Linked DNA regions of Diceros bicornis minor. The protein of the gene in region 2 purifies or fractionates together with the protein of the main gene of each other region. This does not show direct contact. Links are inferred from orthologs where the notes say so. Each region holds a gene or a part of one and is shown on either strand. Other genes may lie near its edges. The genes, in order: SETD1A, BOD1L1 and CXXC1.

Region 1 (10,376 bases), on a different chromosome or scaffold from region 2:
CAGGATTTGGTGACAGATAAAGGAGAGGAGAAGCATAGAATGACTCCCAGGTTTCTAGCTTGTGCAACTGAGTAGATGGCGCTGCCATTCATCAGTAAAGGGAAAATGGAAGGGAGAGCAGGATTAAGCAGGTAAAGATAATCTGTTTTAGATCTCTTGAGTTGGAGTGGTCTGTTGGGCCTCCAGATGGACCCGTCCCTCTACCAGTCATACAAGTCTGGAGTTCAAGAGACTGATCTCGGCTGGAAACAGAGATTTGGAAGCCATCGACATTTCAGTAATAGTCGAAGGTGTCCAGGGGAGTGTACAAAGTGCAAAAAGAGCAGTGAAGGAACTCCACAAATGAATTATTAAAAAAGGAAAAATAATAAAGAATTAGTGAAGGAAACTAAGAACCATCAGTTTTCTAGGCCCAGTCCAAAGCCTGGATGAGTATCTTGCCTAGATAGGGAAATGGGAATCCTGCAAGGAAACAAGACAGAGGATCAAATGGCCAACTGAGGGGTGAAGAACAGAGGACTCCAAGGATGGAGTCCCTGGCCTTGTCACTCCCCTTAATTGTTGAGAAACTGAGGTATCACACTGGGGACAGCACTGCCATGCTACACAATGTCTAGGAATACAGAATGATAGGTATAGCAGCTAAACCTGTCTTTACTTCATCCTTCAAGAAGTGAATACCCCTGCTTGGAAGACCTCCCCTACACCCTTCTAGAAGATAAACATACCTCCTATCCAGAACAAGTCAGTCTCACAGCCTCAGAGACAGTCAGATCTGGCTGTGATCCTTTCATTGGAAAACTCCCTTTTATTAGGCTACATTAAGACTAGACTGCCAGGATGGATCCTCCACACCCTCCAAGGGCCACGACACCAGCAGGCTAGCAGACACATACCTTAAACTTAGGGACTGGGAGGGAAAAGTCTCTGTTTTTGGACCTGACATGGCAACGGGGATCTTGGAGGTCTTCGACTGGTATATACTTTGAGTCCTAGGAAGGAAAGCAAGAACAGAAAGATAGGTCATGGTGAAACCACGTTATTGAGCTCTAGGAAGCCCAACTGGAGACCCATATGCAAACGAGAAGAGCTGTGGGTGCCCACTTTTAAGAATGCACGCTATAGGCATGGTTGTTTTAGGTGTTGAACAGAGGTAACAGAGGAGAATGGGGCCTGGAGTGCCCTGGAAGGCAAGGAAAGGCCTGGGGCACTCACGTTGACACTGAAGTGGACTCCATCATAGCGGTACACCTTTTGAGACGGTCTGCGCAAGGCAGGGTCCAAGGCAGGATCCACGATGAGCTTATAGTTCCGCCACTGAAAGCTCGGGGCCTTCTGCCCATCTCCCCCACCTTCCTGATCCATCTTTGCTCATTTACACTGTTAGAAAAGAGGAATACACAGGGGTGTTCAAGACTTAGGCCTGACTCCCTTGCTGCCCCTTACCGACTAGCCCAGACTCCAGATTCTCTGATCACCCCAGTTTCCACACCTCACCATGACCCGTGGCTCCCCCAGATTTTCCCCCAAGTACCCTGTTTCCCACAACACCTCATTCTCTCTCCACCTCCCAACTCTCCCCTCAGGCCCCCAAGCCCATCTCGCGCCCCCTTACCTTCCCGCTCTCCCTAGCGCGCGCCCCACTTGGCCTCCGCGCAAGACCCTTCCCCCGCCCCCTGGCAGGCCCCGCCCCCTCCCGCCTCCTCACCGGCCAGCGGCCCGGGCCAAGCCCGGGTCCCGCTCCCACACACCCGCTCTCGTCCCCGCGCCCCGATCTTCTGGCCAAGAGGTGGCACCTCTTCGGGGCGTTGGAAACACCGCGAGACCGAGCCCGAGACCCGGCTGCGGCCCCGAATCGGGGCGGGGGGGTGGTGAAGGGAACGCGCGCCGCTGCCCTCTCCTCCCGCCCCGGCGCGTTCTGCCCCCCCCATCTCCGCGCACGCGCGGCGCGGCCCCACTCACCCGCTCGTGGCGAGCGGTTCCCCCTCCCCCCACCCCGCGCGGCACCTTAGCGGCGCGAGGCGGCGGCGGCGGCGGCGGCGGCGGCAGCGCGAGACCCGGCCCCGCAGCGGTGGCGGCGGCGGCGCCCCCCCCCCCACCACCTCCCCGGCGCGCGCACCAAACACCACCGCCACCTGCGCGAGGCCCAACGGGCACAGCGTCTACATTCGCACTTTCGCCACGGGTGCCGCCGGGAGACCCACGGGGCCGAGGATAGCGGCTTCGCCTCGACCGGTGCCCTATAAGGCTTGCGAGTTGCGGCCCAGGGAGCCTGAAGATTGGCCGCATCCCCCGGAGAGTGGGCTTCACCACGACTATCCAGCTGCTCTGGACTGGGGTCCTTGACGAATCGGCGGCGACGAAAGCAGCGACTAATCCCTGAGGAAAAGGGGGCGGGGCGGAGGGGAAGAGGCCAGCCAGAGCTGGGGAGATTTGACTGGCGCGTTGAACAGGCGCAGATTCGTCAAGCGGGCGGGGCGAATCGGTGGACAGGATGCGCGCTCCTTTGCTCGTCTTTCCGGCCCCTTCCTCGGGCGGCCAAAGGTCTAAGAGGCTGCAGATTCGCCACAAGTCCTGGCCTCAGCTGTCGCCTCCCTTCACCCGCGTTGATGGAGTCAAGAAAATAACGGCTGGTTAGCCAAGCCCTGTTGGCAGAGTTGGCCAATTTCTCTGGATCTTTCTTACTAGCACAACTCAGAGGACTGCCCAATTCCGACCCGGGGGAAATGGCTACGGCCCAAAGGTCCTCTCGGAGTCCGATGAGAATTTTTCGGCGGAGTATAGAAGGCCCCGAGCAATTCTGAGGAGGAGCCGGCCTAGCGAATTTGTGAATTCTTCTGTGGGCGGGGCCAAGGCACAGCGCGCAGAGGGCGTGGTCAGCGTGCGGAGCCCGGTGTCGTGCGGGCGCTTCCTGTAGGACCCACTGAAACCGGGGCGGGCTGGGAGGGGCGCCCGGGAGGTGGAAAAATACAACCAGCAGCGGTGACTCAGGCCGTTTGCCCGGCGCTGCACATAATGCAGGGAGCGTTTTCCTCCCGTTATCCCCCTTGGGCCTCTAGCTGTCTAAGGTGCCCATTTGACAGATGGGGAGACTGAGCCTCGCAGAAGATACCGCATTTTGCACGTACTGGGCCTACTATTAGTGATTAAATCCGAGGCTATCTCAAAGCTCTGTGGTAAACTTGATGGGGCCTAAAGACCCTTGAACGGGTCCTGTAAAAAATAATAAACTAGGTCCTACAGGAACTAGGGTGGGCTGGTCGATTCTCCAGGCATCGTGGTCCCAGTGCCCGCCGTTTTCAGCCGTGTGCCCCCTATGTTTACGCGGTCCCACCGCTCGAGGGCAGCACCAGCCCAGGCTTACACCTGGGACCCTGGGGCTGAAGTCGCCCTGATGCTGGGCACCCTTTTTCTCCGTTTTGGAAGCAGGGTATCCTGGTCTCTAGGTAATGGCATTCCCAGGAGGCACCTCTGCCTGAGCTGAAGATGCCCTGGGTTCCAGACATCTCTGCGTCAGTCCCTCGCTGTGTGACCTTGGGCAAGTCATTAACCTCCCAAAGCTTCAGATTCTTTCTCTGAAAATGAATGTTAATTCCTGTCCTGCAGGTCTATTGTAGGCATCAGAACAGTGCAGGAAAGGCCCTTGAAGCCTGGTTCATGCAAATTCACCATTTTAAGTAATAGGAAAAGAAAAAAAGGAGGACTTGCCCAAGATCTCACACCATAAGAATAGAAGAGAGAGGATTGGGACCCTTTAAAATTTTGAAGAAAATGAGGCTGAAAAAATAAATTTGCATGGAAGCATGGGTGATGAGATCAGATGCCTTTCTCTTGTCCCAGCTGAAAGGTATTTGCTCCTTTTCTCAAACAGACTTCATGTGACAGTAAAGGTAGTCCAGGTTTTCATTGACTAGTTGTGTGGCTTTGGGCAGAATCCTCAGCCTTCTTGGGTCTCAGCTTCCTTATCTCTGAAATGGTAATGATAAAGACTTGTCTCTTGAGGTGGTTGTTAAATAAAATAAATTAGGTACGTTAAAAAAGATAACCTATGAAAAGCTCCTAGTAAGTAGTAGTCACTCAAGAAAGAAACTTAAACTAAAAGAAACATATTAAATCCTCAATGGAAGAGATAAAAGATCCTGGGCTCAAGGACAAGAGGCAAAAGCCTTTAGCCTTAGAGTAATGCGGTCTCCACATTCAGAAGCTACTGGTCCCTGTCAGCACCAGAAGGGAGTCATACCTGGTACCCTCTCTCTCCCACCCCCAGGTACACTTGCCTCCATCTGACTCTTAAGGAACAAGTCACCTGACCCCAAGGAGGCCTCCCGTTCACCCCATTCACAGCCACAGGGACATCTGTGAAACACAATTTATTATACAAAACAAGGTGCATCAAAAATTCAGTGTCAGAAGAGCTCTGTATTTCAAGGACTAGGGACTGGACCTTCTCCCTTAAAACCTCCTCACCCCAACCCCTGCTAGGGAGTCAGGCTGGACACGTAGACCCCCAGCCCTGGTCCAGGAGAGTGAGAACCAGATATAGAAGCGTAAGTGTGGGTCTAGGGCAGTGGGGCAGGCACTTGAACCTCCCAAAATAGGGAGGCTCTTCCTGGACCTATGCCTGGGGTAAAAACACCCAAATCTCTCTCTACAGCAACTAAAGCAAGAGTGTAAAACCCATCAAAATCTGAGGATGGGGAAAACTTCCCCAGAAATGCCAACCATAAAACAGATTCTACAAAAATAAAGCAAGAGTTGGCTGCCTTCTGGGGCAGCTGGGTGGGCGTGTAACCTTCTGACCTCCACATCCTGTATAGCGGCGAGTGGATAAGGGTCAGCACCAAAGGTCTGACCAGGGTCTCCTTGCCCTCCCCTCCGCCTACCGCAGTGGCCTCGGACTGAGGCCCTCCACCTCCTCCCAGCCCAGCTGTAGAGTAGAACTTAGAAAACCTATAGGACCGACTGATGGAGAATCCCTGGGAATGTGGGAGCTGCCCCAAGGCCCAGCCCAAAGGACCCTGAGAGCAGAAATCTGGTCTCTACCTGAGAGTGGCCACAGGAAGTGTCTCCAGGCAGGGGCAGGGATGGGGTCTGCAGACCCCTGAGGGAGGCAGTGCTTGCAGCTGGGGCTCACACCAGCGTCACACAGCCTGCAGCTCCCCCTGCAGGCGACTTAGCTCCTCTAGCTCTTGCTTGTGGCGGTCTGTCTTGTGTGCCACCAAAGAGCGGTAGAAATGCAGGGCGAAGGCCACGAACACAAGCCCTACAGGTACCATGATTGCCGTGGAGGCCATGGCTGCTTGCCAGCCTGGTCCATGGGCCCCGCCCCCACCACACACTTGCCGGGGTGGGCAGGCCTCAGATGGCTCAGCCTGTGACGGGGCTAGAGAAGCAGAGGACGGCTTGGAAGCTGGACTAAGGGAACTGGTCACTGATGGCAGAGTCCCAGGCACCTGGGAGGCAGGTACCACAGGGGCTGGCGTGCCCAAGGGGGCCCCAATGGGCACAAACTTGACCCAGCCAACCAGGACAACTTCAGCGAGGAAGAGGAAAGTGCCCAAGGCAGTGGAGAAGCCCCAGGCCAGCTCCACGTAACGGTGGAGTCGCTGGTGTGGAGACTGGTGGACAGAGTTGAGGTTGTGGATGTTGCTAACGGCTTCAATGTGGGGCAGCAGACACGTGGAGACCATGAGTGCAAAGAGGTGCACCGCTACTAGCACGGTGGTGCAGGCACTAAAGGCCACCAGCAGGCCTGGTGGGTAGTCGTGGTTGCTCTCCAGTTGCACCTCCACCATGGCCACCTGTGGGGACAAGAGGAAATAGATTGAGTGCCCATAACCTCCTCAACAGTACAGGAGTTTTTGCCTGTTGGTATACATCACTGATGTATCCCTAGGACCTAGAACACTGCCTGGCAGAAAGAAGGCACCTAGCCTTTGTTGAGCGAGTGAATGGGCAGCACTGCCAAGGCTCTGTCCTGTTCTGGGCCTTGGTTTCCACACTAGGCTATCAAGAGGGCTGGATGACATTTCTGACAATCTTACCTTGTTATAACACAGGGGTTAAAAAGCACAGATTCTGGGGCTGGGCTGCCTGGGTTCATTCTCAGCTCCACAAGCTATGTAATCCTGAGCAAGTGACTTAGTTGTCTCTGTGCCTCAATTTCCTCATCTGAAAAATGGGGACTGATAATAGCATCTACCTGCCTTATAGGGTTGTTGTGAAAATTAAATGAGATAATATACATCAAGTGATAAGAATAGCACAAGGCACATAGCAAGCACCGTTTGCTGTTATTATTTAGAGTGGACTCTGAAAGTCCAAGGCCAGAGTTTGCACACTGGCACACCGTGAACCCAAGCCAGCTTACAGACATGTTTTGCTTGGCTCATGCAGTGTGTTTTTTAAAGAATTAAGTTGCCAACTTTTAAAACTCAAGAGATTTCATATAAATATGCCTATTTCCAGATCCTCTTGAAAATTTGCAAGATCTGGTTACACCAGGCCCACATTCCTGCATGGCAACTATCAGCTAGAGTTGTCATGGCTGCTCCCTTTGAACAGGCCATGGGGTCTCTTGATAGCCACAGGCCCCACCCAGCCAACTTGCTGTCCATATTACCTGCCTGGCCTTTGCAAACATTTAAGTTGATGATCCTGTTCTAGGCTTGTATAAATTTGGACTCTAGAGCCAAGTTCAAATCCTGCCACCTCCTTGCTGTGGGACCCTGGGCAGGTGTCTTAACATCTCTGATCCTCAGTTTTCTCATCTGTAAAATGGCCATAGTAGAGGTTCCTACTTCATAAGATAATAGAAAGATGATGTACATAAAAGCCCTAAGTACAATGCCTGGTACTTAGTGACAGTTCAATACAACTTATATAGTGTTATTCTAACCTAAGCCACCTGGATCTTTCCCCACGCCTGGTTCTTGCAGGATCCATTCGATTGCTCTGGGCCTGGGAGAAGGAAGGTGCAGAGCCTGGAGGGTGGTAGTAGGAAGACAAGGCTGAGTATTTTGGGAAACTGGGCCATGGCGGGTGTCAGCAGGTGGTTTCCATAGACAGGGATCTGGGCCAGGCCTAGTCCTGGTTTCTCCCAGAGCTTGACCCAGCCTTGCACTCCCTTGGCAGGACTGGGGCCAGTCCTGCCCCCAGAACTTACTCATCTGGCCTCTTGATCCTGCAGAGAAGGTCCTGGTCCTTAAGCTGTTGCCCCAGCAACCTGCAAGTCCAGTAGCAGGCCGGATTGTGCCCTTGGGAACAGGCTGGACCATGGGGTAAATGGGGGTGGGGGACTCCCTCAGCTAGGTCCACGGGGCTGTTCCCTTCTCTCTGCAGTCTGTACAGGGGAAGGGGAGTCAACTCCCTGTCCCTCGATGACCCCACATCAGGAAGAGTGGGCTGGCCTGTGGATCCTGGGCTCCCACACAGAAAACCATAGACTTAAGATGACCCTAAGGGATAGAGACTTTCTCTCTCATCGTTCAAGTACAGAGACTGTGGCACAGAGAGGGACGAGGGACTAACCAAATCACCTAGTGCTATGATCCCTCTATCCTCATCTGGACCACCCCCAACCCCTGCAGGAGCTTGTTCCTATGAGGACCCCCCTCCAGCCCACTTTCTCCTTCTTCCTGTCATGATGGTGGGGAAACACTGGACTAACAGTCCAGTGACCCTGGGTCCTATTCCATTCTATATCCTTCATCTGCTGAGTGCTCTTGGCAGAGCCACTGCCCCATTCTGTGCCTTGGTTTCCATGCCTGTCCAATTATCAGGTAGTCTGAGCCATCTCTGATGTGTGTCTTGCTCTGACATGCTTGGATCTAGGGTTTGATGACAAGAATCACAGCTCATCCTGGGGTGGGCACTTGGCAGGCTACAGAGGGCGCACCCTCTGTGATCTCACAATTTCCCACTGGCCTGCAAGGGGGTGGAGGCCTGTCCAGAGTCACATAGCTGGCCACAAGCAGGGAGGAGCCAGGACTCGTGCCTGCTGACTACTCCTCACCCTAGGACCTCCCTCAATCCCACTTCCTAGGAGGCCTCTGCTGGGACTATTAGCTGATATCATCCGCCCACACCTGCAGTTTATCAGCTTAAGAATCATGTATCAGCTTCCTAATCAGTTTCTTTCCCTAGCCGCTTCCTTTCTTTTCAAAGCCTCCCTGGGCTATGCTAAGCCTTCTTTGTGCCTGCTGGGTACTAGCTGCCCTCCTTGAGATGGGCCCACCTTCAGTTGGGTGACCTTTCCGCCCAGCTTACCCTCTCTGACCACCCCCAGCCCTAGTCCTGTTTATACAGCCCCCACCCAGCTCTGATTTCCCTTTGAATCTCTCATGGGGACCTAGTAATCACTTCTGCCTGGGCTAAGCTCCTTTTGGACCTCTTTGTCCCATCTTTGCATATGTTATCCCCTTTGGTGATTTGTCTACCCCCATGACATGACTTGTGTCCCCCATGAAACTTCTGTGACTTGCTTATCCCTATGGCCCATTCTACTAGAGATCTGCTTACATACAAATACACACCCCCCACTCCCCAAAAAGGGACTTGTATAGTCCCTTGGACCTTGTTTGTTCTCTTCTTTTACCTTAGAACCCCATCTTTTCCTTGCCTCTGTCCTCTCTCCCTTGAGTATCCGTTCACTTCGCCAACGGCTCCGTGCCCCCCATGTGCCTCACCCCCACCCTGTGCGCCCCTTCCCTCCCCTCACCATGGCGAAGCCCGAGAGCAGGGCAGACGTGCGGCTGGAGGCTTTGAGCTTGGCCCGGCTGAGGTAGAGGCGGCGCCAGCTGAGCGCCCGCAGCGAGTGCTGACTGGCCCCCATGAGGTCCAAGTAGCCGCGGTGCACGAACTCTCGGTACGTGGCCGAGCCCGCGGGGCTCTCGGCCTCCGGGTTCAGCGGGGCCTGTTCGCCCGCGTCCCCCTTGCCGCCCCTCATTCTCGGGGCCGCAGCACCAGGCGGGCTGGGTGGTCACGGTGGGGCCGAGTCTCCTCGGGGGCCCCAGCAGGGCCGGCCCAGGCCGGGGAAAGGCCCCATACCCCGGCGGGGCGAGCGAGGATGCGGGCGGCGGGCGCCCAAGAAAAGGCAGCCAGGGCGGAGCAGGAAGAGCAGGCGTTGGCGGAGAACCCCAGGAGCCGAAACGGTACAGCAAAGACCGAAACAGGAACTAGGGCGGAGGCGGAGCCGGGCGACCACATGATGGGGTGGAGCCGAGGGACCGTCCGCAGAGATCCCAAGGGACCCTGCGACCCCAGTCCACCCAGGATCTCATCCAGGTGCCCGAGTCTTGCTGAGATGAACGCCCAGTCCCAGCCAGTGACTGGAAGTTCCCGGGCCCTGGACCATTCGAGGTACACCTGGACACCCCTAGATGTCCAAACCCCCACCTAAATACTGAATTCAGAGGTGAGCCCATTCATCCGCAGGGACCGCAGAAGGCCCTGTATCCTCAGTTCCGAGAAGCCTAGGAGGTCCGAAGCCCCCCGGATCCATCCAAACAGCCCCCTCCTCCGAGAGCCCCGAAAGGTGAGCACTCCGGTCATCTCCGCCCTACCGCCCCCCGCCGCCCGCCCCCAACGCCGCAGAAAGACACACGAACTCGGCGGCCCCGGCTAGAAGATTTTGAGTTTTATAGCAAACCGTATTGTACAGACCCGGGGCCCAGGGGCCCAGCCCGGCTGGGTCCCCCACTTATCCCCCGCAGGGCTGCCTCCTCCCTCTCCCCTAAGCGGCCCCATCCTCAAGCCTTTCGCGATCCCCAGGACCCCCTCCCCTCCGGCCTTTGGTCCGCCCAGTCCCTCCCCCCTACCCGCGCACCTCCCTGTTACCTGAGGTATGTGGAAAGATCACCCCTCCCCTACATGGTACAACCCGGCTCCCCGGGGAGGCCTGGGCTGAGGGACGGGACCAGGCCCCGACTCCTCCCCCTGGCTCCCCAAACCCCACTCCCTCACTGGAGGAAGGGGCAAGGGGAGGGCCAAGTGAGTCTGTTACTAAGTCCCATGGCAACTAAGAGGGGCCATTTCTAGCCTTAGCACTGGCTTTGGGAGGTGTCCATTGGCTGCTATTTCCATGGCAACCAGGAGTGGCAGTTCCCTAGGCAAATGGGATACAAGTTTCCATAACGATGAAAGACTGGGAGGAGCCAAGCTGGAGGAGTCCCATTTTCCCCATCACTGGGCGGGCACCCCACCCCACCTCAGGTCAGGAGGTGTCGGGCTGCTCAATACAGTAAAGCAAGAGAGACCCTGGGGGTGGTGCAGTCCAAACTGGGTGCCCACCGGTCCAATCAGTCCCAGCTGGTCCCGTCCCCTCACATTCGGGCTCCCCCAGGTCCGAGGTTCCCCCGGTTCAAGTAACACTTCAG
Region 2 (10,337 bases):
TTAGAGTAATCAGATAATTTTATTGTCCAAACCAGATCATGACTGAGCGAGAAGGGGACACTACTAATAATTACACATGGTCAATGCATCTAAAATGGAAGTCAGATCATGTCCTTCTTACGCTCAACACCTGCCAATGGCTTCTCAGCTCAAGTAAAAGCCAAACTCTTACAACGGCTTCCAAGGCCTGCCAGATCTGTGAAGGGAGGGAAGGAGGGGCACTCCTATCTCACCTTCTATCACTTTCTCCCTTAGCTGGCTCTGTTTTAGGCCTTCTGCACTTGCTGTGGTCTCTACTGGGAATGCTCAGCCCCAGAGAGTTGCCTGGCTCCTTCAGTTCCTTCAGTGATGCCTCAAATATCACCTTATTGAAATCTTTCCTGAACAACTTACTCAAAACAAGTCAGCAATCCTTTCCACCCTCATCCTGCTTTATTTCTTCCAAGGGTCGTATCACACATTATTTATTGTCTCTTTGTCTCCGCTGGGATGCAAGCGCCACAACACCCAGGGACTTTTTGTTCACTGCTGTTTCCCTGGCACCTAAAACAGTGCCTGGTACAGAATACATATTTGTTGGGTGAATAAAGTTATATACCTCTGTCTTTGATATTCCTTTTGAATCTAAAATGAGAAAAAAGGACAATAATTACAGTGACTAGGAGCCATTTTTAACTGAGAAAGTATCCAAAAATTGGCCTTTATTACATGAGGAGAGAGGTGCCATATTTACTTGGAAGGTGAGCTCCCTGCCTAGGACAGAATAATGGGCCTCTCTTCATCTTCCCTCCTCACTCTCCGGTTGCTAATCAGTGCAAAGGCATCAGAATGGCTTTGTAACCTCTCGGCTTGCTCCACGCATCTGGGAACTGGTAGTCTAGAGCAGAGGAGCCTCAGCATTAGGTGGATCTTGGGGCTGCCCAAGGTTCCAACTCTTTGGGTAGAAAGGCTGAATTGGTCTGCTACCATAGGATCTCTCTTGGTTGGTTATGGACCATCAATGACCCCATAACAGTTCGGGGGTTCTATGTCTCCTGGAGTGGTGGAAGACTTTGGTGCTTCTCATCTTGCTTTAAACACACTGGACTGGATGATAGTTTTATTCTTGGAAAGAACCTGATAGGTATTAAATGTCTCATTTCTTAAATATGCACATAACTGACAATCCAGTTACTGCCACAACCCTGTATACTATATACTACAGGTCAGAGTTTGACATAAAGCAAGTCAGTCTTCAGGGTTCAATTATCAAAAGCACCATACCACAAAAGGTCTAAACTGTAAGGTGTTCTTAAGAGCTGACACCCAAGGATTCCATTAAAGTGATGCTCCTGTGCACAAATAGGAAATCTTATTTCTACTCTGGCCCACTCATCACAATGATAGGAATGTTAAGCTTATATGAAAAAAAACTTTGGTTTTTGTATGTTTCTTGAGACTCTCAAACTTACTCTTTTTTTTTAGATAAGGAAAAGGAGTATAAAGCACTACTCAACAAAAGCAAATATTTTAAACTGAAATCTACGTAATTGCTAGCTAAGAGGACGAAAAGCAGGAGGAGAAGGAGGAGGAAAAAGGAGATAGTCAACGGGGAAAGAAGCAAGAAAATCAGAAACAACAGGTGCAGAGGTAGAAAGACGAGAGAGAGACAGAGAGACAGAGAGAGAGACGGAGACAGAGAGAGAGAGAGAGAGAGAGAGAGCGAGCACACATGAAGAGTGAGGAGAGAACTTCAATCTCAACCATACCCAGGCACCCCCTTCTGTCAGGGTGGGGGTATCCTTTCAGTTCTGTTCTTCTCTAGCCTCAAACATTAAAACAAGGAATCTTTATTCTGCGGTCCCTGAATTCCCTGAAACTATAAGGTTGAATCACATGAAATTGCCTATAGTTGACCATTTTTGAATTATAAAAACAGCATTTTAATGTGTATATGTGCATTCTTCTTGGGAGAAGGTCCTAGCTTTCATCAGATTGTCAAAGCAATTGTGCTTCCCTCCTTCCTCCCAAGAAAGGTTCGAAGGCTCCACCTTGAGAGGATCTGGCACACAACAACAACATTTAGTGGGGATGGGGATGAAGAAAAAGTTGAACCTTAGATACTGCAGCACCCCCATCAGTATATTTAAATTTTCAATTTGCATATACAGTGATAACAGAGATCTGTAGGTTTCTGAGAACAGCAAAATGAAATCTTTACTTGCCCGATACAAATAACCAGGTGTATTTGGGTAATATTTACCTGGCCACATCTAATCTAATCTTCCATTAAAAAAAAAAGAAAGAGGCAACAAGCCTCTTTATTTTCCAAAAGTTATTTTCAAAAAGGTAGCTGTGCATATTCTCTAAAACAAAGTGAGAAAACTATATACTTCCTACACAGATCAACATCCCCATGTAAAATGAATTCTCCGTGTGCAAAAACTCCAACATGCTGAAAAGGCAAATTTTACTTCTGTTCTACATGGTGGGCCAGAGTCCTTAAAAGGGAAGATGTCCCCAGATTGTCAGGAGGGCTTTCCCAGAGGAGACAGCGGGATTTTGTGCAGTTCACCTCAAAGCCTGGTGAACACAGTCACAGGGAAGAATCGGCGTATGTTGCAAACAACCCTTTCCCAAAGAAACAAGTCTCCTCAGAACAGCCGAACATGCTACAAGGAAACTCTCACCCCATCAAAACTCCAATTCCATGGATCCAACCAGATCTAAACCAAAAACACCCCCACTTTTCCAACTGTTTCCACCTGAAGCTTCCTGCTTCACTTGCTTCCAGAATTCCAGACCCTACTGGTTTTCCATCCAATTCACCTGATGGCTTCTTCCTGGTGTCCTCTGCTCATTCTTTGCCAAACCAGCTAAGTTTACCTGTTTCTGCCAACATCCCTCTCACTCTGACATTTGGTACAAAGTCCCTTTCCCTTCCCAGTCCCTAACTCGTTTTGTGAAGGGAACCACTTTGCTGACCTTTCCCCTCTCTCCCTTACTCTCTCAACTCACTCTTCTTCCATTTCATGTCCTGTCCTTTCTCCACTTCAATATCTGCTATCACCTCTCCTCCATCCTTTCCCCCACGGCATGGCTCAGTTGTCTCTACTCCTCACCTCTCCCTCCCTTCTCACTTTAGAGGAGTAACTTGGCCTAAGCTACCTAAACGAAGCGGTTACTGGTAGAAACAAAAGTCCCGGATCTCCCCAACCCATCTTGCCACTGTCCAGCTCTGCCTCCCTACCTTTGCATCCCTACAATGTCCAGAAATGCACATTGCAAATCTGACTCAATTATCACTTAATAATTCCTCCAAAGAATAAAGACATGACCCTTACCGCCCAGAAATCTTCAAGAGAGGAGGCAAAAATAACTTGGATACAAACTAAACCGGGAAGAAAACTAATCAGAGATGAAAGCACCGTTAGCGTTGGTGTTTCCAAACGAGTCTCCATGGGAACAACGACTTGGTCCTGCTCAGCGGTAGGTTCCCAGCGCCTCGGCAGCGTAGTAGGTGCTCACCACTAGTCGGTTAAGCGAACGGGCGCACAGGCGAATGAATGAACGCACCGCGCCTTGCACAGCGCCGGGCACAGGGCAGCAGCGCGAAGAGGAAGCGGCTGCACGGGGGACTCGGGGAGAGGCGCGCTGGAGAGGGGCCCCGGCCGGGAAGTCGAGGCGCAGCCGGCCCATCGACGGGCGCGGGAGACCGCTCGAGCAGGCGGCCCTCGGGGTCCTCCCCTTCCCCCGCACACCCGCAGCCCCGCGCGCCCGAACCTTGGTGTCCACGTCGGCCAGGCAGTCCCTGCGGAACTGGTCGAAGAGCCCCTGGCTCTTGAGGTGGTTCACGATCATGGCCACGAGCTGCGGGTCCCCGCCGCCGGCCCCCGCGCCGCCTGCCCCGCCCGCGCCGGGACCAGCCCCGGGGCCCGGTGGTGGCGGCGGCGGCTGCGGCTGCGGCGGGGGAGGCGGCGGCGCCGGAGGAGGCGGCTGCGGCTGCGGGTTGGTGGCCATGGCGGCCTGGGGCCGGGGAGGGCGCGGGCGGGCGCTCCTGGGAGGCGGCGGCTGCACAGGTCCCGCCGCCTAAGGGAAGCCAACGGGATGTTGTTACGGAACCAGCGGATCCAGAGCAACCCCGGAAGTGAAAGGGAACCGGGGGAAGGGAGGAAAAGGAGGTGACAATAGCAACGAAGGTCCGGCGACGGGAGCCGCGAGGGGCCATTTCCGGCCGCCGCCGGGCGCCGGCGCCCTCGCGCGGCCGGGCTGCGTCGGAAGCGACGGGGAGGAGGCGGAGCGCGCCGTGGGCCGCGGGGTCTGGGCCGGGGCGGGGGCCTGGAGTCCAAGGCGGTGGGGCGTTCGACCCGCGCGACTGCCCTGGCGGGAGGGCCGACTGGGCGCCTGCTCGGAGCAGGCCCCGGCGGGGGAGGGAGGCGCTGGCCCGTTCGATCCACGGTGGCATTTAGGCCTGACGCGCTCTCTCCTGTTTCCCGCAGCAGTTGAGACCCATAGATTTGAGAATGCGAACCGTGCGTGGAACTGCTTATCCTAAGCTCTCCCAACCCTTTTCGTTCTCAGGCTATGATCCTGCCCAGATTTCTTCTAAGCAGGGAGCTTCGGGGGCCTCCTGTATCTCTTCTCCCAGCCCCATCCTGTTTTTCCTTAGGCATCTGTTATTACTCTCCAAGTGTGCCTGCTGACTAGAACCCCATCCCTCCAGCACCTTCTTCCTGCCGGTGAACACAAACCCATGGGTTTTTAGTTGTAAGGGTTTTTCTATTTGATAATGTTGGGGAAAGAGGGAGAATCCCCCTCTGCCCTTTCCCTTAGGTTCTTATGGCTGGCCAAATAATTAACAAGACAGGTTAGCAGGAGAAAATAATACCAATTTTAATAACATGTAAACATGGGAGAAACCAGGGACACTGCGTTTCTCAACACAATAGCAGAAATTCTTGTCTTAAATATCATCTTTTGCTAAAGACAGGAGGATTTTGGGGGCCGGGGGAGTCAGTTACAGGAGATTACCGCTAAAGCACAGTAAACAAGAGTAAGGTTATCATGCAGATTTAAGGCCTCACCTTCCACATTGATAAGTTTCTAGAAATGAGGTCATCCCCCCTCTTCCCAATACAGAGAGGGAGATACCTTTACAAATGGAGATTTCCCTTATAAATGTAAATGTTTGTCTGGCAGCTCCTCACAGGGCCATCCAGAGAATGTGGCCAGAGAGACAGAACTTCTGATAAGATGGGCTTGTTGGTGCCTTTTCTATTCTAACATCTATTTTACATTATATTACAGCCATCAGATAGAAAATCTGTTCCAGGAAGGAGTTATTATGTCAAATTCTTTAGGCAGTTACTGGGGGAGGTCAAATGTCCCTCAGAGAAAACAATCAAGGTAAAGAGATATATTTCAGGGTGGCCAAATCTTGATCTCCCACAATAATAACAGGTCACACATACAGCGCACACTATGTGCCAGGCGTGGCGTTAAGAGCTTTTACGTGCATTAACGCATTCAGTCATTGGAACAACACTGCACCTAGGGCCTACTACTGCTGTCCCCCATTTGCAAAGCAGGAAACTGAAGCCCAGAGAGATTAAAGATATTGCTGAAGGTTACATAGCAAATCACCTGATTCTGGACTGAGTTATCTTTAAAATGTCACTAGTACACGATCAAAGCAAAATAAATATTACAAATTTTCATAATTATTAAATAGAATGTAGAACTTACTGGAAAATGCATCTCTTGGTGGAATGGATATTATTGCTTTTTAAAATTCATATGTCTCTGAATGAATATGTCTTATTGCTAGAACAAGAAGAGTTGAGTATCAATTCTATTCCTGTTTCTAGTTTTTATAACTATGCCCTGAGAAATTGTGTTCTTATAAACAAGTGCTGTACTTGGGAACAGAGTTTTAATGTAGTAATGCCACTCAATTCTTGATCTCAAAAAATTAGATTTGATGATCTGTAAGCTGATTATTCAATTAGGCCCTCCTTCAATTTTGTGGAGAGCAAAGGATTGAAAACTACCTAACTTGTCAAAGGGTTTGTTAACCTAGTCCTTTATTTTCATTTTTTCAGTTTCTGGGAAATATGCCAAACAGGCTTTATCAAGACATCAAATGACTGAATTAGACCTGTTTTTTTGTTGTTGTTGTTGTTGTTGTTTTTTCCAATGAGATGTACCCTGTTTGACCTGACATACTCAATAGTTTGGGAAAAATCTAAACATTGTTCATTTTCATAAATGGTTTTGAATAAAATGCATTTTTATTGTTATTAGGTGGTTCAATTCGTTTTTGTCAAAACTTTTCAGCTAATGGTACAGCTCATTCAAGTTGAAACTGTTTGTCAAGTATGGAAAATGTTTGTCATATAACCTAGTTAACAGAGCCCATTTTCACCATCAAACTAGCCAAATCAGATTTACTTTCCATCAGAAACAGTTGGACTTCATTGTTTCAATTCAAATAAAGTGTCATGCGTTTTGAGGAGTATAATGAAGACTGCAGAGAGACAGTCATGGAGTGAAACTTAAAAAATGTATTACTAAAAGCCATCAAGATTAAAATGGTGTAAGATATAATTGTTTTATCCATTTTCAAAATTAGTTATGAACACAAGATGAGGCTATGACATGTTTCCGTTTACCTGATTACCAACAATGCAATACAATATGTTGCTAAATTGTATAAGTTATTTATTGTGTGTAGCATGGTAATTCTTTGGTGTATACAAATGTATCAAATTTATCTGGTTTTTGGGGAATAAATAAAGAAGAATCATCCATAAAAATTCAGCAAAACTCCACAAATTTAATTAAGCATGATGATCAAATTAAAAAAAAATGAAACAATAAGGTATTTGTTGCTAAAAATGAATTGGTTCAGTGACTAGAAAATAGTTTTGTGTTTTGTGGGTAGCATATAGACAATCCTAAATATTTTCTGAAATATAATAAGGTGAAAATTGCTTATAACTTAAATAGATAATTCACAATTGATTTTATAAAATGTATAGTAACTGCCTCATTGAATAACAGTGTGATGATGAATTGTAATTAGTATTTGGGTGGTGAACATGGTGTAATCTATGCAGAAATAGAAGTGTAATGATGTACACCTGAAAATTAAAAAAAATAACAAAAAAATATAAGACACTCAGGCACATTTAAAAAAAATTATAGAATCATTTTGTAATACCTGCCATCTTTGAACACTGATTCCTGTCACCTGTAGATATTTTATTTTGCCCCATTATTCATGTTTTATTATGACATTTTCTTCTAGTAGGATATGCACGTTTATTCTTAAATGTATTTCCAAAGCACAATATATCATTTGCTTCAGTCATGGATGGAATTTTTTTCCATTAGGTTTCAGTAAATGTTATTATTAATATATATTTAGTATTTTGTATAATATTACAATGATGAATAAAAGCTTACCAAGCATAAAAAAAAAAGAATAACACACTGAATCTAAAAGAAATAACAATATTTGTATCCATGGGGTCAAATTACTCTGGATACAGTGGATACAGTGTAACTTGAACAATTTTATAGCCTTGGAAAACATTCTAGTTACATTGAGAAGAATCAGGGTCACTGATCTCTACTGCTTTGGCTGTTCTAAGGTGATTTTCTTTCCACTTGAAGACAGGTCCTGGGGATGAATATTGTGAATACCTGAGGGGATAATGGCATACGTTTAAATCTTAAAAAAAAAAAAAAAAAAAAAAGCTGTTTTATGCAGTCATCATTTCCTACCAATGACTTCTTTGCTTTGTTATGTCCTCTGACTGTTTCTTTAGAGAGAGTAATATAATATTTGATAATAGTGAGGGTGTGAGTGAGATGAGCTCTTCAAAAAAAACTGCCAGTGCTCCGCTACCCACTGTGTGAACGTCTGAATTCAGAGTCTCCCAACAAGGATCAAAAATTTTCTCCCTGAACATGATTGAGCTCTCATTTGGTTTCCCAAGTCTGACGCTAAGGTGATGGTTAAACAAACTTTATAAAACCTTTAGGAATGAGTGGAACAATGGTCGGGTATTATGGCGGTCATTACTGGCAGCCATCTGTGTCCTCGGGCACCAGACTCCTCCCAAGTACCTGGCTCCTGATTTCCTCTCTTTTCTACAGTCCAGCCTGCCCCCTATTCACCCCTATCCAATGCAGACCTTGTTTCTGGTGGCTGATCCAGTGAAAGTTAAGCATCGGTTTAGATATGATGATCTCCTATCCCCAGGGAGCCCAGGGGCTTTTTAGGCAGAGTTGTTTGTTTCCTTTCCCTCACATCCCCAGGGCATCTCCACTCCAGGGCATCTCCATTCCAAACCAGGCCCTAGGCCTTGCCTTTCATAATCAAAAGACTAGTGAATGTTATTTTCTAAATGACTTTCTCTCCCAAAGCCAAGTAGAAACCTTGCAAGTTCCCTTTTTCAGTGATAACAGAACACATTGTTAGGCGAGGTTCAAAGCACCCCATTAACAGTTTCTGTAAGAGGAAGGGGAGAGGAGAAGATGTATCATTTGCCTTTCCAAAGCAAACTCCATGGTCACAGCTATTCGTCTATTTCTACTGCAGTATAAAATAGCTGATGAGGGTGGAAACGGTGGTGGGCAGAGCATGATAAAATGTTAATGTAAGACGGGGGATGGCTTTTTCTCCTGAAAAAACTTAAAAGAATTGTCACTTGGGGCCAGGCCCGTGGCTTAGCGGTTAAGTGCGCGCGCTCCGCTGCTGGCGGCCTGGGTTCGGATCCCGGGTGCGCCCCGACGCACTGCTTCTCTGGCCATGTTGAGGCTGCGTCCCACATACAGCAACTAGCAGGATGTGCAACTATGACATACAACTATCTACTGGGGCTTTGGGGAAAAAAAAGGAGGAGGATTGGCAATAGATGTTAGCTCAGAGACGGCCTTCCTCAGCAAAAAGAGGAGGATTAGCATGGATATTAGCTCAGGGCTGATCTTCCTCACAAAAGAAAAAAAAAAAAGGTACAAACTTCCAGTTATAAGGTAAATCAGTACTAGGGATGTAATGTACAACATGATGACTATAGTTAACACTGATGTACGATACATAGGATAGTTGTTAAGAGAGTAAATCTTAAGAGTTCTCATCACAAGGAGAAATTTTTTCCCTTTTTTCCTTCTTTTCTTTTTATTATATCTATATGAGAAGATAGATGTTAGCTGAACCTATTGCGGTAATCATTTCATAATATATGTAAATCAAACTATCATGTTCTATACCTCAAACTTATACAATGATGTATGTTAATTATTTTGCAATAAAACTGGAAAAAAGTTGGGAAAAATCATTATGTTGTACACTTTAAACTAATGTTATATCAATAATATCTTGATCAAACTGGGGGAAAATTTTAAAAATTTAAAAAAAGATTTAAACTTCTAGTAGCGATAGCAATCAGATTTACAAAAGTAAGATTTATTATGAGGTTAAGTAGCCAGTGTCTCTAAATGTTACTGAGTTGCTGGCTATTTTGACAATTGGGATGGCACCATAGCAGATGGCTGGAAATAAAAGATATTCCTTTATAGGCTTATAAAGATGAAAAGGAGCTTTGCATTTAGAAGAGTTAATCTTCAAGCACATTATTTTTATTTAAAAAACAGCCTTAATGTGTGTGTGTTTCCTGAATGTTCTAGATGGTACATGGTACCCTGAAAACGAATAAGAGTCACACTTCCCAGAATGAAATTAGGAAAAGTAGAAATGAAAAGAAGATCTATGGAAATGATGTGGTGTTGTCTGAATACCCTAAATCCAATCCAGTCTTCTGGGTAGAAATTCTGAGAGGGATGAGAAAATAGTGATTATAACCAAGAAATTGTATACCTAAGTAATGAGAATAATCTACCTCTGAATAGGGAATCTTTTCAGAGGGGAAATGGCTAGCATAGCATTTACCAAAGGGAGGGATCCAAAGTATCTAGAATTGGGATGGTCTCTACGGAGAGCATGCATTTGCTATTAGGCGCCAGCCATTAAAATCATCTAATTCATTCCTCTTCTGATCTGTGATCATTAGACAACCTTTGGATCATATTTGGCTTCACATTTGGGTTTGCCTATAGGAAGAAAAAGTGTTGTTCAGCAAATATAGGAAGCTCTCCACTTGGTGGTTATATCTCTTCCTATGAATCTTTTTTTTGCAGAAGGCTCTAAAAACTTGGTTAAGTGTGAAACCACTTGGGATTCAGATCCATTCTTTGTGTACTGATGTTCTTCTGACCTTGTGAGACTGAAGGCAGGGCCTCACACTGTGGTGAACAAATTGAAGTATTGCTGTGGAGACCAGTCTGAGTGG
Region 3 (9,344 bases), on a different chromosome or scaffold from region 2:
AAACCTTACTTTGGGGTCCCGTGAGTGCTCAGGGCATAGCACCTGGAGCCGCTTACAGTATGTCTTGCTCTGAGGATTGTAGACATCACAGAAGAGTCGTGTGGCCCTGGCGGTTTAGAGTTGAGAGAGGGTAATGGAAACAGAGGAGGGGGGCCCACCTATCCTTGCCCATGCCCATATCCTGCCCCACCATTCCACTCCTGAACCCAGCCTTAACCTCCCTCCTCTAATTCCACGTGGCGCCCACACTCACCCCTCAATGCGTGTGGGGTACATGGACCCAAAGGACGTCTGGCTCTCATACTGGAGGGATGAGCACAAGTGGAGGGAACTGTGGATGTGTGCTGCATGCCCTCCCAAGACAAGACCCAGAAGACACATCTGACCGCCCATGGGCCCACTGAGGGTCCCCTACCCCTCAGGCTAACACCTGACCTTGGCATAGCAGCGCTCCATGTGGCGCAAGGCAACACGTGGGTTGATGGGATGCCCACAGGAGACGCAAAAGATCTGCAGGTCCGTGTCATCACTGTCACCCTCATTGCTCTGCATGGGGTAGAAGGAACAATGAGGATGGGCAGGACCAGGTGCTGGGCCCTGCACTGCTGTGCCTGTGCTTGCTTACCTCCTCGTCCTCGCGCACAGCCTGCTGCTTGGCACGCAGAATGATGGCCTCAAGCTCATGGAATCGGCGCTCCATTTCCTGAAGGCGGGTTCGGGCACTCTGCTGCTCACGGCGAATACGTTCAAGCAGCTTCTTGCCGTGCTCCTCAGCAATGCAGGGGCTCTGCTGCCACTGCTGGATGCGCTGGGGGAGGATCTCGTAGATGCGGCTGCAGGGAGGCAGTGGGTTGGGTGTGGGCAGGTGGCAAACAACAAGATGAGTAAGTGGGATAACCCAAGGATGGCAGAATGGATAGGTGACTAAATGGTGAAAGGATAAGTAGATAGCTGACTGAGTGGTAGATGGATGAGCTGAATGGTGGATGGAAGGGTGAACAGATAGATGGATGAGTGAGTGAATGGATAAGTGGGTGCCTAGTTGACTAAATGGGACAGGTGACTGGCAGACATACAGAAGGCTCTGGTCATGCCCTACCCCGTACTCCCTGTGTCCCTTGAACCCCCCAGGAATGACTCACTTGGCTGCCAGCTTCATGCCACAGTCGTCTGAACAATACTTGGAGCCAGGCTGGGCAGGGCGCACACAGCCAGGCCCCAGGCACTGCGGTAGCGATGCAGGGTCCTTGGCATCAGCACGCTCCGGGTGTTTCCATTTGTCCTTGTGCTTCTGCTTTTGCCGATGCCGCTTGTATCTCTCCTCTTTCTATGGGACAAGGCAGTTCAGGTCAGGGTGGAGTTGAAGTCTGCCCCAGACCCATCTCCCCCTGCATTCCACCCCTTCCTGGCTCTTGCCCCATGCGGCCCCTAGCCTTTGCCTCTCCCTCCCCACCCTACCCTCTGCCTTCCCACACCCATTTCACCCTCTCCATCACCTTCTTCTCAGACTTCTTCTCCCGACGCTTCACATGCTTCACTTTCACTGCCCTCTTCCGCAGTGCGGGATCCAGGAATGGGGACTCCTCTGTGTCGCTCATCCAGGGCTGCAGGTGAGGCAGACACTGGCCCATCTGTACCACCCATGACTACCCCACCAACTATTTAGTTCCCAAATCAGCCTTCCACATCCTCTGCCTTCTCTCTTCTCATTATGGATACTCTCTACTTCTGTAACCTCTACCCTTCCACCACGGGACCCTGCCTGCTCACCAGGCCATGGTCATCAAAGGCCCCTGCACAGAAGTCCTGGTATAGGTCAGGGTCCAGTGGTAGGTCTTCATCTGAGAGTGGCTCAGGCGTGGCCGTAGCCTCAGGTGGCTCCTTGACTGCTGCTGATGCCACTGCCCCCTCATCCTCACGGATGCGCCCTGGTTTCTGTGATGGCTGTGGCTGCTGCTGTGTGGGCAGTGGCCGACGAGGCCTTGGCAGGGACTCTGAGGGTGTCACTGGCGAGAGCTGCAGGGCAGAATCTCAGGACTGGCCCTGACTGCCCTGCCCACATGCCCTGCCCCGCTCTGGGAGGCTGGACTCACCGAAGAAGGGAAGTACTTGTACGATTCCTGTGCCGGCAGGAGGAAGGCCCAGGTCAGCCCCAGGTAGATGGAGGGTGGCCCTGCCCTAGCCCCTCCCACAAGTGCTTGGCCCCACCAACTAGCCCTGCCTTGCTTCCCCAGACACACCTGCCCCTTCTCCCCTCATCACCAGGACATGCTCAGCCCTGCCCTCCCTGCCCTGACATGTCTGATCACCTAGAAACATCTGGCCCTATCTTGCCCACCTGGGTTTGGGGGGCTCCCCTGCTGGCCCAGCACACCTGGTCAGGCCCCATTCATCTGGACAGGCCAGGCTCCTTCCCACCTGTCTGTATGCAATTAGGCCCCACCCCACCCGGCCCACCCATTTTAGCTCTTCCTGGACACACTGGCCCCCTCCACCCCACCTGACCCTGCCCAACTCCACCCAGGCTCACCCGGGCCCGTAGCTGGCACTGACGCAGCCGGCACTTCTGCCGGATCTTGTTGGGGCCCCCAAATTTCTTCATGTCCCGGCAGAAGTCGCAGTGGCCACAGTCCTCAGTGCGCCGGCAGGCCTCGCACTCACCACACATGCGGGCTGACCGTTTGATTTGCTGTTGCTGCTGGTGATGCTGGGGGGAGGGACCCAGAACAGAAATCAGGAACTCAAGTAGGACCTGAGGTGGGATCACCTTATCTATCCCAGCCACTGCAGCCACTCACCTGGCTGGGTGTGGCCACCAAGGGCTGTGGAGATGATTTGTGGGGCGAAGCAGAGCCCCGAGCAAGCATGGCCCCAACCCCTGTCCCTGACCCCGCCCGGCGCTGCAGGTCCGGATCCGGGGCAGGCCTCTTGCGCCCTCCACCCTCATCCCGGGGCTCACTGCCGTCTCGCTCATTGCTGTCCCGCTCGCGTGACTTCTTGTGCCGATAGCGGATCTCCAGCTTGGGGTCTTTCTCTATGGAGCAGAGCGGGGAGCCGGGGGGTGACATTGGAGGATTTCGATGGTCCCAGAACTCTTCTTCCTCTTCTCTCCTTTTCTGTCCCACCCACCTGCTCTGTCCCCCTAGTCCAGGGCAGAACTGCCCCCTCTGGTGGGACCCTCCATTATGGCTCACAATGGAGCCTTCACTTTAGCTCACAACAGACCAACACTCACTCTGCCCAAGAACATATATCACTACTCCCCACGACCCACCCTCCCATTATGGCTCCTCCTTCTCCCTGGAAGTCCCACTTGCCTGCCCTGTCCTTTCCACCCCCCTCACCTCGGCACTCCCGACAGTACCACTCGCGGATGGCCTTGGCCATCTTCTCAGTGATCCGGATGCAGTCCCCATGGAACCACTCATTGCAGTTGTCACACCCGCTGCAGAGGATGGGGCGAGTGGTGGAGATATGAGGGGCCGGACCTATGGCCTTGCCCAACCTTGACAGGTGTCAGCCCCGCCCACCTCTCCCCGGCTCACATCATGAAGCAGTTGATGTCCGGTTTGCGGCAGATGCAGTAGATGGGCGCATTCTCCCCATTCTCCGACTTGCTGTCCTCCCCAGCATCTGGAGGCTCTGGGTCTGAACCATCCCCCTCCTGTGGGAAGTCCCCCATTATGGCTCCTTAGAGAACGCCCATCATAGTGTCTCATTCCTCCATTACAGCTCCGCCATGGCGCACCACAGACCCCAACACTCTGCCAACAGACCTCCTATCATAGCTCCTCACAAACCTCTCCATCACGGTCTCCACAGACCTCCCCCACCACTCACCCCTGACACCCCGTTACTCTGCTAATAAACGCCATCACTCTGCCCCAGATCTCCCATTACTTAGCCGGCTAACACCCCATCACTCTATCCACACACTCATAAGGGCTCATTACACTCTACCACTCACCACATATTGCCCCCAAAATGGCTCCTCACAGACCCCACCACAGGTTGTCAGACACCAACGTGATTTACTCACTTCCCAACACAGCTCTCCACAGATCTCCCGTTATTAACCCCACTGACAACCCTGCCCCCATCCCGGTTCCCTACGGATCCCCTAATACACTCATCATGGCTCACTACTGAGTGCCCAATACGGCTCGTCGCAAACCCCTTATCACTTTGCCTAAAGAAGCCCCATCTGGGGCCCCCCGGAACTACAATCAGGGATCCCCACTAAACTTCCATTCCGGATCCCCACATGGCTCATCACAGAACTCCCAGACTCCCACAAAACTCACACAGCAGAAAAAAAATCAGGCCATCAGTCCCCCATCATACTACCCACAGACCCCTGCTGAGGCTCACCACAGGCCGCACCATTCTGCCCACAGACTCCTGTTACGGTTCCCCACAGACCCCCGTGAGTCTGCCGACGGACCCCACCATTACCAACCCGACTGACCTCTACTGCCGACCCCCTCCCCGGACCCGTACTCACCATCTCTCAGCTCCCGGGGCACCGCCTCGCGACCCCCGCCAGCGACCCGCGAACCCACACAGACTACTGGGCAGCGTCCGCAGCCGTTGCAAAGGCGCCCACAGCTACTTCCGCCTCTGGTCGCGCCTCCCGGGCACCGTACTCCTATTGCGCAGGCCCGGTGCGTCGGCTTCAACGACAAACAAGTAGGTCCCCCTCCTAGAGCCCCGCCTGTCCCTCAGGCGCCGCCATCTTGACTACTGATACTGTATGGCATCCGAGTCCATACATTCGCAGGAAACATGGCCGCGCCTATAACGCTGCTTTCCCAAGGGCGCCGCCACCTTGTCGGTAGAGTCCGTACGGTGACTGCTTTACGGCCCGGACGTTACAGGCAATATGGCCGCGCCAACGCGAATTCTACGAGGACGCCGCCATCTTGGAATCTGGTTCCGTAAAATGGCCTAGTCTGTACGGTCAGAGGCAATACATGGCAGCGTCCTAATCGTGGCTTCCTCGAGGGCCCCGCCATCTTGGTGGTTGATTCCGTACGCCGGCAGCTTGCACTGCCCAGTTCACAGGGAAAGCGACCGATCCCGAAATACTATCTCGATCAAGTCGTATTCATTCCGCTATTCAATCACTTTTCCCTTCCACATGTATTAATGGGGCGCCAGAAGACTGTGTGCCTTGCGCTGCGAAGGAAACCAGTCCACCTGTTAGATCTCCGACACCACCTCCCGCCACTCTTTCCCACTCTCCTTGCAGTTGCTCAGCCAGGCCTAGCACGGTTCAGCCTCTGGGCCTTTGCAGGAACACTCTCATCCCTCAGAATTAGTCCCGAGCGACGAAAGAAGGCCAGACGCGATCGTGGCCTGATCACCTCTGGTGAGAGAAGTGGCCAGAACAAAGTAGATTTTGAAATCAGGGACAATCGTCTTCACCAACCTCTCCCCTGATCCTGCCACCAGCAGAGTGTAGATTTGTCTTGTTCCTGGTGATGTCCAGTTTGGTTCTCTTGTTTCATACAAATTCAGTATTCAATATTCTCTCCAATAAAGTTAATTTAAAATTATTTTAAAGAACTTAAATTGTGTACAATAAAAAAAGTCGGGGAGGGGAGAGCCTGGGTGGCTTAGTGGTTAAGTTCCACATGCTCCCCATCAGTGGCCAGGGTTCAGTTCTCAGGCCAGGACATACACCATTTGTCTGTCAGTGCCATGCTGGGGCTGCTGCTCACATACAAAAAAAAAAAAGGAGGAAGATTTGCAGCTGATGTTAGCTAAGGGGGAATCTTCCTCAGCAAAAAAAAAAAAGTCTGTACAGGTCAGAGAGCTAGATATCTCTGCAGGATAATGATCTAACCTGGGCGACCATGGAGGTCAAATGAGATACATGTTAGCGTTATTTTATGTGCACTTATTTTATATGCAACACTTATTTCCTAGATATGGGAATCATGGTCATAGTAAATGTCCACATGTCCATGTTCAAAGTGAGAACGACTGTATTTATTTTGGGTTGAGGAGAGGATTCTGGGGAGAATGAGATGTTTCACCCGTGGCTAACAGTTTTTCTAGATTTCTTGGTTCTGGACACTGTAGCAACTTATTTGTTACTGATGATTTTGCTGCTCGTGGCTTAGGAGGTCCGATTTTTTTTCCTCACCTTTCCTAAACATTTTTCTTTCCCATCCCTTCCACACCATCACAGACGTCAAGACACATGGGCAGCAACAAAGGTTCTGTGATCTTCTCCTCTTAAAAGGGGTTTTTAATCCAGAAAACAGAGACCTTCAGATCCAGCATGACTTCTCATTTTTATTTATCAATTAATTTCGAATTAATCTTAATTTGATTGTAATTTATTTTAATTAACATAATTTAATTCTTTAAATTTAGTTTTTCATTTAATGTGTTAAATTAACTCTAGTATAATCAAATTTTTATGTGTTAGTAAGGTACTTAGATAAATTTATTTTCACATCAATTAATGAATTTTATATAATTCAATTTTAATTTAATTAACATTGAGTGTATGAAAATAAGTTTGAGGGAATATAGCTCAAGTTTAACTTAAATTTAATTACTCAAATTTAATTTAACATAATTGAATTTTGACTTATTAAATGTAATTTGGTTTAAATAATTTAATATTTAATTTATTCAACCCTGATGTCATTGTGTATCTTTTAATTTTAATTTATTATATTACATTTTATTTAATATGATTTAGTTTAATTCATTCAATTTAATTTGCCACATTTAAATTTTAATTCAAATTCACTAAACTAAATTTTATAGTCATGTAATTAATTAAATTGATTTAACTAAATTTATATTCAATTACTATATTTTGAAATATAATTTATTAAATTAAATATGATTTATTTAATTAGGAAAAAACAATGAGAAAACATAAATTACCCACATCATGAGTGAAAAAAGAGCCATCAGTACAGATCTTACAGATATTAAAAAGAGACTATTATTCACACATTTATACTAACCTAATACAATTTATTTGACTACTTAGATAAAATAGACAAATTCCTTGAAAAAGGCAGCTTACCAAAACTAACACATGAAGAAATGGAAAATTTGACTAGCCATATCACTATGAAATTATTTCAATTTCTAATTAAAAACCTTCCCACAAAGAAAACTCGAAGCCCAAATAGTTTTTTTTTTAATTTTATTTATTTTATTTTTTTCCCCCAAAGCCCTAGTAGATAGTTGTATGTCATAGCTGCACATCCTTCTAGTTGCTGTATGTGGAACACAGCCTCAGCATGGCCGGACAAGCGGTGTGTCGGTGCGTGCCTGGGATCCGAACACGGGCCACCAGCATCGGAGCACGCGCACTTAACCCCTAAGCCAGGGGGCCGGCCCCCAAATAGTTTTGATAGTAAATTCAAATATTTAAGGAGGAAAAAAGAGCAATCCTATGCAAAGTCTTTGAGGAAATAGAGGAGGAAGGAATACTTCCCAATTCATTTTGGGAATCATTTCCCTGATACCAAAACAGACAAAGACATTACAAGAAAAGAAAATGACAGACCAATATACCCCATGAGCATAGATCCTGCAAAGTTTGAGGAACAGTTTCCAAGAGACCATCTTTACTTCTGAGGCCACTGCAGAATTTAAGGGTTTAAGTTTAAGTTTAAGAGTAAGGAGATCATACCTACTTCTGACACCAATTGCCAGTTTGGGGGTCCCCAACTAACTTGCTAGAAGGACTCACTGAAAGCTGTTATACTCACAGTTATCACAGGGAGAGGATACAGATTAAAATCAGCAGTAAGACAGAGTCCAGGAGGGTTCTAAATTCAGAGCTTCCAGTTATCCTCTCCCAGAGGATTCATGGACAGAGTTAGCTGCTCCCAGTGATGATATGTGACAATATGCATGGAGAATTGTCAACCGGGGAAGCTCACCTGAGCCTTGATGTCTAGAGTCTTTATTGGTGTTCCATTACATAGGCACCATTGACTGCCTGTGTGCCAGAACTCAGTTTCTAGGCCCTCAGGAGGTTGAGTTGATACCATGTGACCCAAATCCCTCACCTTAAATCACCTTATTAGACTATCCAGTGACCAAGAGACCTCCAGGCAAACAAAGATACTCCTGTCGGGTGTGACATTAAAGGGTTTAGAGATTACCTCCCAGAAGCCAGAAGCCGAGGAGGGCAAAGGCCAGGTCTCTCTTTGGACAGGGTTAAATTCTTTACTACACAGATGCAAAAGTCATAACAAAATATTAGCAAATTGAATCCAGCAATTTATAAAAAGGATAATACACCATGAGCAAGTGTATTTATACCAAGAATAACGATCCCAAGAATGCAAAATTGGTTTAATATTTGCAATATTGCAGGGGACTAGTTATACCATGGAACCCTGATGACCTTATATATCTCCACAAAGGCCAAGTAGGCAAAGCTTTATTGCCTTCTAACTGAGCCTTGGTAGAATGCCCTGGACTCCTCCCAAACCAAGGAAGACAAGCACAGGGGAGGAAAAGACATCCTGTGGGCAAGGAGCCAAAGGATGAAAAAGGCTCCTCAGCTGTGCTGGCCAACCTCTGCTGCCTGGCCTCCACTGCCCTCCAGCACTCCTGAAGTTCCCAGCCATAAGGTAACATGATTTCCTGATAGAGTTCCGGCAAAACTCACAGTGAAAAGGAAAAAAAGAGACCATTAAAGAGACCATATGGGTGAGGCCTCTGGCCAATTAATCTACTGTTGTTATAACTTCCTCTGCCAAATGTGTAATGAAATTGATGTGTTATATGCTTGTACTATAAATGCTCATAAACTTCCAGGGGAGATTCTCCCCTTTAGGACAGAGCTACAGGTAGAAAGTGTTATGGGACAAATTCCCCTGCCCTTGCCACCAGTGGGTGGGTCAGGATTTAGTGCGAGTGCTTCTATCCTGATTCCAAAGCTTTCACTAAATAGATAATAACCTGTTGGTTGGCAAGTCAAAGCCTTAGTGTCAGTGACCCAAGGCATTATCATACCTCTGCCCACAGGAGGCTGATAACCGCCCCCCCACCCCAAATTTAGGGGCCTAATGCTAAGTTTTTTGGATTTATGTGCTCACACTGCTCACTCTCTCTGGAGTGAAGAAAAGACTGCTATCTCTTTCCCAGATAGGATGTGGCTCACTAGACAGGGCTTGTTGAGTGCAGTTGACCTAACCCTCTGGTCATCTTGGCTTTAGATGGAAGGGTGGCAGCTACTCTGCTACCACTGTTAAATCTCACTGTCAGCTACCCAGAATCAAAAGCAGGTGTAGTCTCTGTGCTCCGTGGGAAGAATTCAAAAGCCATTTTCATAGCCCCAGCCAACACTCCAC

Evidence for each region.
Region 1: the proteins of BOD1L1 (region 2) and SETD1A purify together in Homo sapiens (affinity purification with mass spectrometry; 3 studies listed by BioGRID and IntAct, with this or other methods). This does not show direct contact. The link is inferred for Diceros bicornis minor from reciprocal best matches to the Homo sapiens genes BOD1L1 and SETD1A.
Region 3: the proteins of BOD1L1 (region 2) and CXXC1 purify together in Homo sapiens (affinity purification with mass spectrometry; 5 studies listed by BioGRID and IntAct, counting the BioPlex papers as one, with this or other methods). This does not show direct contact. The link is inferred for Diceros bicornis minor from reciprocal best matches to the Homo sapiens genes BOD1L1 and CXXC1.

Annotation. Positions count from the first base shown.
Region 1 is NC_080765.1:21,050,163-21,060,538, forward strand, and holds the start of SETD1A (histone-lysine N-methyltransferase SETD1A), read right to left. Parts: upstream 4,312-10,376; 5' UTR 2,175-4,311; exon of another isoform or gene 2,136-2,174; intron 1,987-2,135; exon of another isoform or gene 1,963-1,986; intron 1,870-1,962; exon of another isoform or gene 1,709-1,869; intron 1,381-1,708; 5' UTR 1,366-1,380; coding exon 1,216-1,365; intron 993-1,215; coding exon 897-992; intron 1-896. Other genes in the region: ORAI3 (protein orai-3), read right to left, coding at 5,142-5,801, 8,720-8,947. UniProt on the Homo sapiens protein: Histone methyltransferase that catalyzes methyl group transfer from S-adenosyl-L-methionine to the epsilon-amino group of 'Lys-4' of histone H3 (H3K4) via a non-processive mechanism.
Region 2 is NC_080747.1:10,456,288-10,466,624, forward strand, and holds the start of BOD1L1 (biorientation of chromosomes in cell division protein 1-like 1), read right to left. Parts: upstream 4,099-10,337; 5' UTR 4,000-4,098; coding exon 3,763-3,999; intron 3,653-3,762; exon of another isoform or gene 3,441-3,652; coding exon of another isoform or gene 3,324-3,440; intron 1-3,323. UniProt on the Homo sapiens protein: Component of the fork protection machinery required to protect stalled/damaged replication forks from uncontrolled DNA2-dependent resection.
Region 3 is NC_080755.1:42,776,528-42,785,871, forward strand, and holds the start of CXXC1 (CXXC-type zinc finger protein 1), read right to left. Parts: upstream 4,639-9,344; 5' UTR 4,508-4,638; coding exon 4,505-4,507; intron 3,665-4,504; coding exon 3,546-3,664; intron 3,446-3,545; coding exon 3,345-3,445; intron 3,035-3,344; coding exon 2,799-3,034; intron 2,708-2,798; coding exon 2,531-2,707; intron 2,121-2,530; coding exon 2,094-2,120; intron 2,017-2,093; coding exon 1,771-2,016; intron 1,605-1,770; coding exon 1,497-1,604; intron 1,328-1,496; coding exon 1,143-1,327; intron 834-1,142; coding exon 626-833; intron 547-625; coding exon 436-546; intron 304-435; coding exon 254-303; intron 107-253; coding exon 10-106; intron 1-9. UniProt on the Homo sapiens protein: Transcriptional activator that exhibits a unique DNA binding specificity for CpG unmethylated motifs with a preference for CpGG.